Schizosaccharomyces pombe: one gene and its partner. The protein of the gene in region 1 binds, or shares a complex with, the protein of each later gene. Each region holds a gene or a part of one and is shown on either strand. Other genes may lie near its edges.

What was found.
Region 2: rsm23 (region 1) and rsm19 share a complex: the UniProt entries of both Schizosaccharomyces pombe proteins name them as parts of the mitochondrial small ribosomal subunit.

The regions. Positions count from the first base shown.
Region 1 is NC_003423.3:2,065,674-2,070,002, reverse strand, and holds rsm23 (mitochondrial 37S ribosomal protein mS29), read left to right. Parts: upstream 1-2,012; 5' UTR 2,013-2,064; coding exon 2,065-3,495; 3' UTR 3,496-3,816; downstream 3,817-4,329. Other genes in the region: ribosome biogenesis protein Rrs1, read right to left, coding at 1,110-1,610; telomerase reverse transcriptase 1 protein Trt1, read left to right, coding at 3,893-4,150, 4,207-4,287. UniProt on the Schizosaccharomyces pombe protein: Component of the mitochondrial ribosome (mitoribosome), a dedicated translation machinery responsible for the synthesis of mitochondrial genome-encoded proteins, including at least some of the essential transmembrane subunits of the mitochondrial respiratory chain.
Region 2 is NC_003424.3:384,334-388,115, forward strand, and holds rsm19 (mitochondrial 37S ribosomal protein uS19m), read right to left. Parts: upstream 1,838-3,782; 5' UTR 1,817-1,837; coding exon 1,774-1,816; exon of another isoform or gene 1,711-1,773; coding exon 1,605-1,710; exon of another isoform or gene 1,555-1,604; coding exon 1,422-1,554; 3' UTR 888-1,421; coding exon of another isoform or gene 792-887; 3' UTR 728-791; coding exon of another isoform or gene 653-727; 3' UTR 553-652; downstream 1-552. Other genes in the region: pre-ribosomal protein Loc1, read left to right, coding at 1-16, 147-257, 653-727, 792-887; tif313 (translation initiation factor eIF3m), read left to right, coding at 2,011-2,061, 2,125-2,281, 2,453-3,453. UniProt on the Schizosaccharomyces pombe protein: Component of the mitochondrial ribosome (mitoribosome), a dedicated translation machinery responsible for the synthesis of mitochondrial genome-encoded proteins, including at least some of the essential transmembrane subunits of the mitochondrial respiratory chain.

The sequences.
Region 1 (4,329 bases):
TTGCTTAAAATATCGAACGTAAACAATACTTAGAAAATTAATGATATACACCATAAAATCGACGAAGTAGCCAACCGAGAAACAAATGATAATATTGGTAAGCTTTTTTTTGGATTAATGAGTTTTTCTTTAATTTTTTTTCTATTTATTTGCATTTTTTAAATTTTTTTTATTATTACTACTAAAAGCATCAATCTCATATCAAAATTAATTATTATGTTAAATATTTAAATAAACAAGTCAGTATTAGAAAACTTATTATACACTCGGTTTAAAAATGATTAGAAATTGAAGTATGGCTTGCACATTTATTTATATAATCTACTAAAAATTTATGTTTACCACTCAAAAGGATATGTTTTGATTGAGTATATCATTCATAGAAAATGCAAAAACCAATTTTAGAACATAAACAATTATATTTTTAAAAATTCACAGCTATATTTGCATCAGCCGGGAGTCGAACCCGGAGCTAGAGCATGGGAAGCTCCAATGTTACCGCTACACCACTAATGCATTCAGATATTTAGACTGATGTTGCAATCTATATAGTAATTTAGAAAGGATTGTTATTGTTGAGTCTGATGAAATTCTGTTTGTTGAACATTTCAAAAATGTTGCATATCAGTTAGCCATGAGTTGGGCTCTTAATATGATGTTCCAGCCTTTTAAGACTGCATACAGAAAATAATAATTAACTACGATATGGTCGCATTTTAACTGTATGAAACTTTTTTTACAAGAGGTTATTAGAAAATTCAATTGGAGGAAATCCCACAGTGTATCAAAACAGTTGCTGTTAAAACTTACTTTACACTTAACTCGTAAACATTCAACATTTTAACGTTCGATTTTCGAGTAGCAGCTTCAAAAAAGTGCTCGTTAATTTTTAACACATAAAAATGTGTAAACAAAGCAGCCACATAACCGATGTCTTACATATTCCTTCTGTACCCGTTGATATCCCAATTGAAGAAGGGATTTTAGTTGTAGCAAACAAAAACAAACGATAATAACAAAATAAAAATGATATTATACCACTTAACCCATGAATAGCTAAATTATAGTAAATTTTTAAATTAAGAAAAATTTTTTTTAAGCAGGACCAATTAATGGCGACGAGAGCGCTTGATTTTTTTTGAGGTATTTCTCACTTGCTTGGAAGTAAGCTTCTTTTCCTTTTCTCCCTCTTCAACAAGCCATTGTGTCTCTAATTCCTTATTTTTACCCTTATAACCCCATTTTGGTACCCATTCACCAGATGCTTCATCAAACACCAACCTGCCTTCCCGCTTCTTAGGAGCAATACCTTTAATACGAGCAAACCGTTGCCATTTGGTTTCGGGCTTGGGTTTAGGTAAAGGTTTAGCACGAGGAAGAGGTGTAACAGTTTCAGGAAGCTGTAAAAGGACGCCATCTGATGTACGCTCCTTAGGCAAGGAAATCATTTTGTTCACCAATTGTTGAACGTTATCTCTACTGAGAGAAAAAAGGAATGATTCTTTCTCTGAACCGCTAAGCTTAGTTTCATCTAAGGGAGAAATATCAAATGCAGCCATATTTCCCAAATCGAAATCTAGAGGAATGGAGTTTTCTATTTGTGCAGACATGATTAACGAAATAGGGACAAGGAAAAAAAAAGGGTTGATAATACAATTAAGTGACAAAAAGTTCTCAAAAAAGACTGCAAAATTGATTTGTTAAAAAGTTGGTTCAGGATACGAAATTCTTCTTTCAAACTCCAAAATTTTTATCAAACTACTGAATATATAAGAGAAAAAGCTCTCTTTCAGTTCAGCAATCTACTGTTTTTACTTTCTTTATGACAAACGAAGAAAGTAAGAAAACTTTTACGATTCTTTAGTTTTTGCAAAAGTAGAGACACTTATTAGCAATACGTTAGTTCTCTTTATTACTGAACGCCAAATCTACCCTATTAAAAAATATTAGCAATGCGCTAAGAGCTCAGTAAATACTTACCATCCGGAAGCAGTCAGTCTCTTCATTTACGTGAGAACAGATATGTATACTTAAGATTTACGAGAAAAAAATACCTCTAACAAAATGCTACCGAAGTTTAGAAGCAGAAGTAGTATTATTAAGAATACAGAGAGAATTTCTAATATCCTGTCCGGTGGAAAACTGACTGTTTGCGGTAGTAAACTGGGAGGACTCTACACTTTTGAAAAATGCACATTTAACAAATACTATTCATCCTCACAATACCAGCATACGGGTAGACCTGTTGGAGGAAATATACATTCAAGCTCTAACCAGCAGCGTCAAAAAAATTCGGAAGCGCCAAGAATTAATGAAATTCCCCCCTCAACTTCGTCAGTAGAGAAATCGACGACTATTCCCAATAGTAGCGTTGTATTGGATCATCTCTTAAATGAAGGAGAAAATACTTTAGAAGAGGTGAAGCCCTCTGAAATTCATCCGCATATGTCTTGGTCCAGCAAGTCTGAAGGTAAGATGTTTAAAATCCCCGAGGAATTGCTTAATAAACTTAATGGATTTGGGGCTTTAGAAAAACAAAAAAAAAGTTTCTCCTTTTTTACCAGTGCTTCCCTTTTGCACAGGAAAATTACAACTGAATTAGTGAATGTACTGCAGCGCTCCAAAGACCAGGGTACGAAGGACGGACGTTTTCTTCTTGATGGTGCTCCAGGTTCAGGAAGAAGTATTGCTCTCATACAAGCTGAACTTTTCGCCTTATCACAACCTAATTTTATAGTCTTGCCAGTCCATAACTGCGAAGGATGGGTAAATTCAACGAGTAGTTATGGTTATGATGAGCAACTCAAGTTGTGGGTGCAACCAGATTTAATTAAGGGATTTCTAACTTCTGTTATGAAAACTAATTCTGATAAACTTAAGAAGCTAAAGACCTTTGAAAGTCATGAGTTGCTTCAGAACGAATGCATTCCTGCTGGTACCGATTTACTTTCCTTTCTTCATAAGCTAATTGCTTCCTCGAACGCTCCTAAATCTCTGGAAATATTTTTACAAGAACTCAATAACAATACCAAGTCAAATTCCAATATGAAGGTGTTATTAGTGATCGATAATATTTCTATTTTATCGGTCGTTACCAAGTATAAGGACAAAAAGAACAACTTCCTTCCCCCTAAAGACTTTTACTTTATTAATTTACTTTTCAAATATATTTCGGGTTCGCTTACTTTTAATCGTGGTACTGTTTTAGCTGCTACTTCTAGCCAACCGCGTGTTTCTACCCCGTCATTGGATATAGCTCTTGGAGTAGCTCACAGAAATCCTTACAAATCTTCTGATGAGACTATATTAGATTCATTACAGTCCGTGCATATTCTTAACATGGAGCCTTACACTTTAGATGAGTCACGTCGCATGATGGAGTATTTGGTATCATCCAACGTTTGCCTTGAAAAGGTTGATAATTATTTGCAAAATCATGTCCTTAGTGGTGGTAATCCGCGAAAGTTTTTTGATGCTTGCACACGTCTAGCATGATTGAGATATTCAAAAATTTCTATCCACTACAACTCCTTTAACGCGGTTTTATTTTTCTATTTTCTATTCTCATGTTGTTCCAAATATGTATCATCTCGTATTAGGCTTTTTTCCGTTTTACTCCTGGAATCGTACCTTTTTCACTATTCCCCCTAATGAATAATCTAAATTAGTTTCGCTTATAATTGATAGTAGTAGAAAGATTGGTGATTCTACTCGTGTAATGTTATTAGTTTAAAGATACTTTGCAAAACATTTATTAGCTATCATTATATAAAAAAAATCCTATAATTATAAATATTAATCAATATTTGCGGTCACTATTTATTTAAAACGTTATGATCAGTAGGACACTTTGCATATATATAGTTATGCTTAATGGTTACTTGTAACTTGCATGACCGAACACCATACCCCCAAAAGCAGGATTCTTCGCTTTCTAGAGAATCAATATGTATACCTATGTACCTTAAATGATTATGTACAACTTGTTTTGAGAGGGTCGCCGGCAAGCTCGTATAGCAATATATGCGAACGCTTGAGAAGCGATGTACAAACGTCCTTTTCTATTTTTCTTCATTCGACTGTAGTCGGCTTCGACAGTAAGCCAGATGAAGGTGTTCAATTTTCTTCTCCAAAATGCTCACAGTCAGAGGTATATATATTTTTGTTTTGATTTTTTTCTATTCGGGATAGCTAATATATGGGCAGCTAATAGCGAATGTTGTAAAACAGATGTTCGATGAAAGTTTTGAGCGTCGAAGGAATCTACTGATGAAAGGGTTTTCCATGGTAAGGTATTCTAATTGTGAAATATTTACCTGCAATTACTGT
Region 2 (3,782 bases), on another chromosome or scaffold:
ATCTAAACCAAAAAATGTATGCTCCTTCTTCCTTCACAATTTACGAACCATGTAAAAGGGGAGTTTCTTTTCTCTTCTTTAAATGTTTCTTTGTTTACTTTTACTGGTAAAATCGAACCCTTTTTTCTAACTTTTTCTTTTTGTAGCAAATTCGCGTGGAGGATTTGGACCTTCCCAAGCTAAACACTTCTAAAAATCCCCAAACTAAGATTCAGAAAAAGGGGAAGAAGAAGGGGAAAATATTTGCTGAAACTAAGGTAATTCATTCTCACATCCATGTTCTTTCATTATAGATGTTGAAAATGCTTCCATTTACTCAACAAGTAATATTCAAAAACATTAAACAACAAAAATCTCAAGTCAGTGTGGTAGATGTTACGATGATAAATATCTCTCTATATAAATCCTACAAATCTTGTTTATAAACTTTCAAGGCCCTGAACCCTATTCTTCCGCATTCGTTCCTCTTTACCACCAGATCCGACAAATAAGGTTTTAAGTGAACTTGCTGCGCTTTTTGAGTCATGTAATCTAATTTTTGATCTGATTTGGTTTGTTTGTTTTTTTACTTTTTGATTTTAATTGATGGGCATTCCTTCATCTATTTATTCATTTTCCACATTCATTGTTCATTAACTAATTGCTGTTACAGGATGACCTTCAAAATATTCTCAATCAAGTTACTTATGAGCTTGACGATAAAATAAAATCTAAACTTCAAGTGGCTGTAAGTATTTCCATGAATTATTTTGATTTCAAGTTTCAGTCAATTTACTAACTATTTACGTTAGCACGAGCGCGAAGCCGTCTTTTCTAAACAATCTGACAGAAAAATCAGCAATAACAAAGCTGATAAAAAGACGGGTCGGAAAAACGAAAAGAAATGAGTTATTCAATTGTTATAACGACACTTCCAAAGATCCTTTTTTTCGTATTGCCTTTCAATTATTAATTTTTCATTTTCTTTTGGGATATCGGGTTCATTCGGTTTTTCGATGCTGTTAATTATTCATTATACAGACTACTAAATAAGTACAACCAATAACATTAAACACATAAGCCATTGCGTTTCAAATTTAAAAATAAAAAATCCAAGTAGGGGAATGCAAAATTCTTTTGTAAAACATTGACAGAAAATTATGCAACATCATATCACTTTTTCATACATACATTTATACGTGCAAGTACATCCATTGGAAGAAGTGCTGTCATTAAAAGCCTGAAAGTAATGAAAAGATTCGGCGAATTATATATTCGCTTTCTTACAGGAAATGTCCTACAAAATACTAATATGGTAGCTCCATTTAAAGTCACGAATTGAAATTTTGAGGCAGACTTGAAATTCTTGGTAGTTATGAATCCATGTGAAAAGTGTTTTGAATAGGCCATATAGCCCAGTTTTCGCCAAGAATCCAAAATAATTACCGATTTTTAGTTTGTCTGTAATGAAATGCTTTTCTGGTAGGTGCAAATTCACCTAATTTATGCCCGATCATATCTTCTGTAATTTTTACATTGGCATATGATTTACCATTATGAACCATAAATTGAGCACTAGAATTTAGTTAGTTAACGTCCACACTTGCTAAATACGAGTATCATACCCAACCATTCTAGGTAAAATAGTTGCAGATCGCACAGCTGTTTTTATAGGAACGTTTCCTTTAATACATTGCTGAACGTTGACACCGAAATCGACCACGTTGGGTCCTATAATGTCAGAATAACAGGTTCTAAATTATTTTCAAAACAAGTATATTTATATTCATTTACCTTTCCAGACTGACCGAGCTCTGGCTACACTAGTCCAAAACATGAGGTGAAATGTTAGAAAGCTAGTTAATTGCTAATGCAGCAATCGTTAATAAATGTGAGGTAGCAACCTGGTGTTGTTACTTCCACTTCGTTTTAACCATTGAACGAGGTGGAGGTGCCAAGTCCTACTCTCCAACTACCACTAACAGCGAATATTTGCATTTCTCGTCTGCTAGATTCGTATTAATAACAGAGATGGAAGGCTCTGATTTTATTTTGGTAGTTGACTCTTCCGTAGAGGAACAGGTATGTCGCTAATGACTCGGCGATTTTTGGTAAAACTTTTTTCAACTAACGAAATTTCAAAAGGTGGAAGAATTGGCTATGTATTTGGATAATCTTGAGGCTAATACCGATAAAAATGTACTTGCTCTTTGCCGAGAATATTTGGCTTCTGAAAATGTTAAAGAAGTTCTTAATCTGTTTCTGACTCGCTTGCCATTGTTGGCACAAGCACCTGAGAAAGGTAATGCAAAATAGTTTTAGGCTAGGAAATTAAAGAATTATTTTAATAAGTGCTAAAGGGCATTTGTTATATTGTTAGTTCTGAAAGTATACTATGAGCTGATGTGTTTGGTTTGCAGCTTTCCAAGTTTTCGCTTATTTTCTCTTCCATGCTATTACTAACACGAAACAGAACTCGAGCCTATTTTAGCCGTCTTTATTAATCTTATCCAAGAATCTGCTGCTTTCGAAGATCATGTTTCTAAATTTTGCCAAGCCTTAGAGCAGATTGCCGATCAAAACAACAATCTCACTCCTGCCATACTCAGTGTCTTAAGCATTTTATTTAATACGGCCGTCAAAGAACGTCAACACGCACGTTTAAGCATTCTTACTAGTGTTGTTACTCTCACTACCCGTTATTCCTTGTTTAGCACTCTTGCACCTAATTTGAAATACTTCCCTGACTGGCTTAAAGAAGCTGGTGTCAGTGTATCGGACCATCGGGCATTTAATATTTTTGTTTCTAAAGCTATTCAATCATACGATGATGAGCAATCATTTGCTTTCCTTTTGGAAGCCGTAAAAATGGACAACTCAACTGCTGACGAGGCGGTTCGCGAATTAGTTCAACGCGCTGTTAACAGCCCTAAGTACTTTTTCTTTGATGATATTGTCACCCTTCCACCCGTTCAGCAGCTTGAACAAAGTACTTTACAGTTACTTGGTATTTTGTCCGGCGGGATGACCGACGATTATGTAAGTTGGGTTGCCGAAAACCATGCTCATTGCCAACACCAAAAATTTGATGAAGATGCAATTGCACGTAAGATGAAACTTTTAACTATTGCTTCATTAGCTACCCAGGCTCCCAATAATACATTATCCTATGGTGATGTAGCCAAGAGTTTGAAGATTGATGAAAATGAAGTAGAATTATGGATCATTGATGTTATTCGTGCTGGACTTGTTGAAGGCCGCATGTCTCAGTTGACTAAAACGTTATCCATTCACCGTAGCAGCTATCGTGTCTTTGGTAAGCACGAATGGGTTGCTTTACACGAAAAATTAGCTAAATGGGGTTCAAGTTTACGTTACATGCTACAAGTAATGGAGCAACCTTTATCTAGCTTTACTATAGCCTCTAGCAAAAAGGGAAATAGAGACGGATCCGCGGTCACAGCCTCTGAATAGTTCATTAGAAAAATAAAATAGGATTCTGATCATTAAGTTTCACCTGTATTAGAGTTACCTTCAATTACGTGGACTTTAGACTAAAGATTTTCTTATAAATTTTAGGTTGCAGTACACTAATAAATAGCAGACCAAAAGCGAAGAAGTTCAAAGCAGCAATCACTTTCTTTGTAATTATGGATGTATCCGTGCAAGACTCTTTTTAACCAAGAGACTTCCCTAATTATTTCTGTCGTCAACTTAAAGAATTTTTTGTACACTAACTAAAAAAGTAACCTACAACTGTTACGTAAAATTGAGATTTTAAAAAAGGAAAGAAGATTGACTCC